2 linked regions of the Ovis aries genome follow. The protein of the gene in region 1 purifies or fractionates together with the protein of each later gene. This does not show direct contact. Links are inferred from orthologs where the notes say so. Each region holds a gene or a part of one and is shown in the gene's direction. Other genes may lie near its edges.

The links. The genes of interacting proteins can lie anywhere in the genome.
Region 2: the proteins of PPME1 (region 1) and PPP4R2 purify together in Homo sapiens (affinity purification with mass spectrometry; 3 studies listed by BioGRID and IntAct, counting the BioPlex papers as one, with this or other methods). This does not show direct contact. The link is inferred for Ovis aries from reciprocal best matches to the Homo sapiens genes PPME1 and PPP4R2.

Annotation. Positions count from the first base shown.
Region 1 is NC_056068.1:52,311,900-52,315,555, forward strand, and holds part of PPME1 (protein phosphatase methylesterase 1), read left to right. Parts: intron 1-1,902; coding exon 1,903-1,960; intron 1,961-2,409; coding exon 2,410-2,461; intron 2,462-3,656. UniProt on the Homo sapiens protein: Demethylates proteins that have been reversibly carboxymethylated. Demethylates PPP2CB (in vitro) and PPP2CA. Binding to PPP2CA displaces the manganese ion and inactivates the enzyme.
Region 2 is NC_056072.1:28,761,833-28,765,488, reverse strand, and holds part of PPP4R2 (serine/threonine-protein phosphatase 4 regulatory subunit 2), read left to right. Parts: intron 1-6; coding exon 7-44; intron 45-904; coding exon 905-979; intron 980-1,218; coding exon 1,219-1,356; intron 1,357-2,025; coding exon 2,026-2,315; intron 2,316-2,570; coding exon 2,571-2,887; 3' UTR 2,888-3,656. UniProt on the Homo sapiens protein: Regulatory subunit of serine/threonine-protein phosphatase 4 (PP4). May regulate the activity of PPP4C at centrosomal microtubule organizing centers.

The DNA of each region.
Region 1 (3,656 bases):
TCCAGTGCCAAAGAATGTTCAAACTACCACACAATTGCACTCATCTCATGCTAGTAAAGTAATGCTCAAAATTCTCTAAGCAAGGCTTCAACACTACATGAACCAAAGCATATTCTAAAACTCTTATCAGTAGTATGGTATTGGCAGAAAGAATCCAGAAATAAGCCATGTATAAAAATGTTAATATAAAAAAATCCTAATGGATTAACTAATGAATTTAAAAAGGTGATAAGAACATTAATATATGGTGTGGTGCAGCCACATGAAGTGGAAGCCATAAAAAAAAGGTTAATAAGTTCAACTTCACTGAAACCAAAAATTCCAAGGACTCCAAGCAGGCTCCATGGGGAAAAGATAATCTCTAAAATAAATGATGTTGGGGAAACTGAATAGCTCCATGCAAAAAATGTATCTTTTTCACACACACAGGAATATTCAGCCATGAAAAAGAAAGGAATCTTGCCTTTTGCAACCACATGGAGGACTTTGAGCGCATTGTGTTAGATGAAATAAGTCAGATAAAGACAAATAATATATGTTCTCAGCTATATGTAGAATCTAAAAAAGCTGACTTCATAGAAATAGAGATTAGAATGATGATTGTCAAGAGCTAGGAGGTGGGGGAAGTGGGGAGATGTTGGCCAAAGGGTACCAACTCCCAGCTGTAAGATGAATTAGTTCTGGGAATCTGTTAAATGTACAGCATGGTGACTGTAATTAATTATGGTATTCACACTTGAAAGTTGTTAAGAGAATAGATCTTAATGTTATCCACACACACAGGTGATGATTATGTGAGAGGTTGGAGGTTATTGTGATAACCATTTTGCATATACACATGTATCAAATGATCACATCCGGTGCCTTAATATTATATGTCAATAATATTCCAGCAGAGTTGGGAGAAAAGATCATAGGAAACATCCAAAGAGATGACATTTAGATGGCAAATCATATGAGCTTTTTTCTCCTCTCTTTCTTACTAATTTTCCATATTTTTATAATGTGAATGTATGAAAAACATTGATTAAAAATAAAATAAGAAAATGTGATTTAAGAGCTTTGATTTGTTTTATGTTATACATTGACTGTTATGTTAGTAGCTTACCTTGGTTCTCATTTTTACTGCTAGTTGTGTGGTCCTGAGAAGACAGTTTCCTTTCTCTTGACTTCCGTTTCCTCGTTCATGAAATGTAGCAGTTAGCCTAGATAGTTGTCCTGTCTTTTTTTAAAAGTTAAAAAAGCGTTGATGATGTTTACTAACACTAATTGTGATATATTACTCTCAAAGAGTCTAGTTCATTTGAGGAAGAAGATCCTCAATTTCAGCTTTGTTTAAACCAATAAAATTGTACTGGCTCATGATATTATGATTTCTTTTTCAATATATTTTTAATTGGCACAAACTTACGTGTACTGCTGCTCTATCTTAAGTGAATCTTTGGTAGATTTTATAACTTGTGCTGCTTTCAAGGTTATTTCATTATCTGAGTGTCATATTTGTGTGATATGCTGAACCAAGATATAGACTGACTCACGGTTCTTACCTAGAGAATTTCCCTTCTAGAATAGGGAAAAGATAACCACTGAGTGTGGATGAAAATCATAGGTGATAGCAGAGTTCAGAGGGGCTTAGCTTAGAGGTGCTTATTCTGTTTCATGGAAAGCTAGGAAGAGTTAAATTTTAAAGAGGGATTTCATATTTTGAAGTTGGGATAGAGCCAGAATGTGTATCAAAAAAACAGAGTCATTAGTTTAAAATTTTTTCTTTAAAGGGGAATTCCTTTAATTCTCTTGGGATCGTTTATTTCTGATAGCAGTTCACCCAACAAAGTTATCATTAGTAATGGGGAAAGATTTGCTAACCTTGATGTATCTTAATACTTTTCCTTTTCCTCCTAGGCAGCAATCATTAGTAGAGTTCAGTGTAGGATTGTGGCTTTGGATCTTCGAGGTCATGGTGAGTGAAGTTCTTAATTACTCACTGACTCAATGACACATTTGCCAACCCTTTTGAATAGTGTAAAGTATTAAAAAAGTTCACTGGGTCTGGTCATTTCCATTTGGGCATTTTGAGGAAAATCCTAGCTTTTAGTTTTCACAAATATTTTATAAATTCACACACATGTATATCTTGTTGAGAAAATGTCTGCTAATGTAACCAAATTCCAATGCTGGTGGTGTATAAGGAATGTGGAAAAATCTGCTACTGTAATTATCCTCCTTCTTTGCTACTCTAATTATCCTTCATAAAGATATGTCTGTAACAGAAAATCCTTGCTGTGCCTATCATGTACAATTATAAAGTCCCCATTTCATTATCCTTAAGTGAGATTTTTGGAAGACAGTACTCTTGATTTTATCATTTATCTCCTTGGGAATTTTATTTTTAAAATATTTTCTTTTTAGGCGAAACAAAAGTCAGGAATTCTGAAGACCTGTCTGCAGAAACAATGGCAAAGTAAGTAATACTGTTTATACAATCACCTGGCTTACATTACTACCATAAATAATAATATATCATTATGGCTGTCCTGGTGAGATTGTTGAACAATAAATAACAAAGAACATTTTACTTCTTTTTTTCCCCTCTATATCTGGTGTTTCTTTACTATTTAATATTGAAAGAAACCCCCAGTTTCTTGTTATATTCAGTATGATAGTCATCATTTAAAATGGTGCCCTGAAAATTTTTCAGGGAACAGTTTAGTCTCTGTTAGCTTTTGAAAAGTTTCTTTCTGTTCACAGAGGTGAATAGAACCTGAATATCTACTGGGGACCCAAGCTTGAAAAATAGTTGTTTACAAAAGGCCCTCTAAGGTGTTCTTAAGATATCCTGCCCACATACTTTTTCCAGCTTTATAGTAAGATGGGAACATGGTATTAAAGAATAACTGATTATACCCTGGGCTGCAAAGTAAAAGATGAGTATAGCACCTACAGTGGCTCTCAAACCTGGCCATTCATCAGAATTATCTGAGAAATGATTTAAAGTACAGATCATTCAGCCCTGCCTCACAGCTCTTGAATTCATGCTTCTACCAGTGGGTTTGGGCATTTATATTTTGATAAATTTCTATAGAGGAATCTGATGCAGCCAGTCCCATGACTGGTATTTGGGAACCACTATTCTGTATTGTATGGGCTTCCCTGGTAGCTCAGTAGTAAAGTATCTGCCTGCCGATGCAGGAAACACAAGTTTGATCCCTGGGTTGGAAAGTTACCCTAGAGTAGGAAATGGCAACCCTCTCCAGTGTTCTTGCCTGGAACATTCTATGGACAGAGGAGCCTGGTGGGCTGCAGTCCATGGGGTCACAAAGAGTTGCACATGACTGAGTACATACACATACAATGTTCTATTTTGTAAACAGGCTTTTTAAAGCTACCTTGCTTTTAATACATGGTCTCTCATGTTTTTAATGCATGCTCTCTCAAGTATTTTTTTGGCACCAAAAATACCTTGTCCCTTCTTACTTTAGCAGCTTGAATCTGGATGTAAAAGTTCTGTTTTTCCTTCAGAACCCAAATTCATGTGGCCAAAATTGTATTGTTACAGTAGATGTTATTTATGTGATTTCTATCTTCCAGGCTTTATTAAGTATAAATTAAACATACATTTAGAATAAGTTATTTGTTTCAATCCATAGTGTAAATAT
Region 2 (3,656 bases), on another chromosome or scaffold:
TTGCAGAATGTGATGGTTGTTAGCTGTGTTTATCCTTCCTCAGAGTAAGTATAGCTACTTTGCTTTTTCCCTAGTATATTATATTTTTTCATTTTTAATATATGTCTTAAAAGTCCATTGCAATTATTTTATATATAATTAAGCATGGTAACATTTGTAAATACTTAGGAAACTACCAACCAGTTCCCAGAGTAGAATATTACCAGTAAACATTACCTGTGGGGTCGCACAGAGTGGGACACGACTGAAGCGACTTAGCAGCAGCAGCAGCAGCATATATTTTTCCAGTGAAAAGATTTGTATTAGAGTCATGACTTACTGCAGTCTTAACATTGTTGGATTTATGTACCATCCTGATGACATTGCTCTTCATGATGGACTGTTAATTCCGATTGGAATTAACAAGTTATATAGTAAATTATATAGTAAATTTAGGTAGCCATGTAGGGCACATTCCTTGGTACCACTGGTATTTTACTAGGAGTGGATGTCCTGGGATTACAAAAGGTTTAGCTCAGTGTCCATGGCTTCCACTGAATGTCAGTAATGTCCCCCCTACTTCCACCAAAAAATGTATGTATTCATTGCTGAATGTGTTCTCTAGGATATGGAGTGAAGGAAGAGGGATTGTAGGAAAATATTGCCCCCTCTTGAGAAGCATTGGATTAATGATTAAGATACCTGATTTCATAGAACGATTATGGTGAATTTGTTTCAGAACTCTTGAAGAATATATTTGTATATTGTTAAATGAGATAGATACTAGGATAATTTCATGGTTATTTCTCTGAGAAGTCTTTTGTTTGATTTTGTGACATTGAAGTCTTACAAAAGATCTTTTAGACTCTTGACTCTTATCAAAGTTAACTGAACTATCCATAAAAAAATTTTTTCCCTCTCATAGGAAGAACAATTCCAATAGTTTAAATCGAATGAATGGTGTTATGTTTCCTGGAAATTCACCAAGTTACACTGAGAGGTGAGATTATTAATTTTTTATTATTCAGAGAGCTGCAGTTTCTAAATTTTGAATAGGAAACTCAATGTACTTTTTAAAAATTGGGAATTTTATGGCAAGTATAGGATGATATACCAAAAAGAATTAATTTGATGACTCTTGGTTCTGAAAGTATTTTTGTGATGTGTGCATATAAACCTTGAGAGGGATGACTTTTTTTGCAAAAAATGGGAAAATGATGTTCGTTTCTCTTACCATAGGTCTAATATAAATGGGCCTGGGACACCCAGGCCGCTTAATCGACCAAAAGTTCCTTTGTCAGTTCCCATGACAACAAATGGCTTGCCTGAGAGCACAGACAGCAAAGAGTCAAAGCAGAATGAGGACAAAAATCACAGGTGTGTATGTGATTTATTTTTGAAAACAAATGTTTTCCCGAAAAAGTTGCATTTATGGATGGTTTTTCAGCACTCCTTATTTATTATTTACAGTTTACTGTTGTTTTAAGGAGGAGAAAATATTTTAATGCACTTAAAAAGGGCATTAGCATTTGCTGACAATGGGCAGAGAAAAGACTTACTTGCTTGTTTGGGAAGATTCTGTAATAGGGTGTTAAGAAAATGATCATGATACATTTTTTTCTTTTAGAAAATTACTTGGAGAAGATACTTGTAAATGAGTTCAAATTCTGTGGATCATTTCTCTTCGTAGATCATAAAAGGAAATCTTTTATTGATATCCCATCTCAGAATTTCTTACCACATTAAGGGAAAGAAGTGAGTTGAGAGGAATTAAGAGTATGTCTCAGTGGGGAATTTGTAGTTTTATTGTAAGAGGACATTTAACTCACTGAAGAATTGAACACAAAGGTCATGTAATTTATTGAGTAGTCCTAGTGGGAAATGTTTAACAGTTGAGGTGTCCTTGGAATTATTCTCTTATTTTCGTTTGCCGAGATGTTACAATTTAACTTGCACAGTGAAAGTTACATATTATTAGATCTCAAAAATAGAATGTAAAGGATGAAGAAACAGTTTTATTAATGACACTTTTAAAAATATTTACAGTGACTCTTCAACATCTGAATCAGAAGGTTCCTCGGTGAGCCCTATAAAAAATAAACATCCAGATGAAGATACTGTGGAGGCAGAAGGGCATGAGGTAAAAAGACTCAGGTTCGACAAAGAAAGTGAAGTCAGAGAGATGGCCAGTCAAACCTCTTCCAGTGAAATTTCTTCAGTTATGGTAGAAGAAACAGAATCTCCATCTTCATCTCAGAATAAAGACAAAGAAAGTAGTTGTACCAGGCAGCACTGTACAGAAGAGGATGAGGAAGAGGATGAAGAGGAAGAAGAAGGTATTTAGAGACCATCTGTAAAAGGGTGGAGTAAGGAGATCCTCAAATTCTTGTACTTCATTTTTGCGTGAAAGAATTTAACATAATGGAGCTCCTTATAATGCTGATGTTGGGTTTTTTCTCCCACCTGTATGTAGTTGCTGCTGAGTTTCAGGGGATATGATTTGAACTATAGAATATCAGAATTCATGAAACTTAACTGTGGAGGTATTTTGAAAATCAAATTTAACTACAACAACATTTGCTTATTTTTAGAGTCTTTTATGACATCAAGAGAAATGATCGCAGAAAGAAAAAATCAAGAGAAAGAATCTGATGATGCCTTAACTGTGAATGAAGAGACTTCTGAGGAAAATAATCAAATGGAAGAATCTGATCTGACTCAAGTTGAGAGAGGTTTACATTCTGAAGGTAGTGAAAATACAGGCCCTGTAAGTAGTGGTTCTGATTGCCATGAAACAGAAGAATTAGTAGGATCCAATTCCAGTAAAACTGGAGAGATTCTTTCAGAATCATCCATGGAAAATGACGAAGCCACGGAAGTCACAGATGAACCAATGGAACAAGACTAACTATTTAGAGATACTTAGATGCAGTATTTTACATACAGTTCTGGTTTTACACTGTATAAAACGTTTATGTAATAAAGTGGACCTTTAGTTTTACAAGAGAAGCAGGTTGTAAAATAAAATACTTTATGGGATAAATCCTGAAAGAGAGATTCATGTGAGAACTGTGAATATCAGCTCCTCTGGGTCCTGCTTACCGCTGACTTTTTTTTGGTCTGGTCAAATCAGTGGTTTGTGTATAGATTTTTTTTTTTTTTTAGGGTTAAAAATTTTAAACTGGAAAATAATTATAATTTTGAAAACTTTTTTGGAGATGATCACATTTAGTTTATTACATATGCAAGGAAGCTTTTGTCTTGTCTCTTTCTGACAGCTCTAGTGGTTTTCATATTTTGGTCATAGTTTCAGCATTTTAACATGTGAACTATAGGGTTTCATGCTGGTTTCCAGATTTTATTGTTTGACTATGTACAATGGAACTTTAAGTCATATATACATATATATATTATTCTAAGGGGGAAATGTTATATTTTTCTGTTTCTATAAGAGATGAATACAGTGGATACTTTTTCTATTGGTAATGATTGAGTTCACCTCTTTCAGAAGACAGTTTCTTTCTCTTCTGAGTAATTCAGATAAAATCTGGCCCCTGTGAAACCCTGGAAATCTTAAGTCTGTTGAAATACCAGGTTAAACACATTCCAAGAGATCTGTTCAAACTAAATTCTTTTGTATACTTCTGTGGTACCTGAGAAAAAGACTTCATTATTTA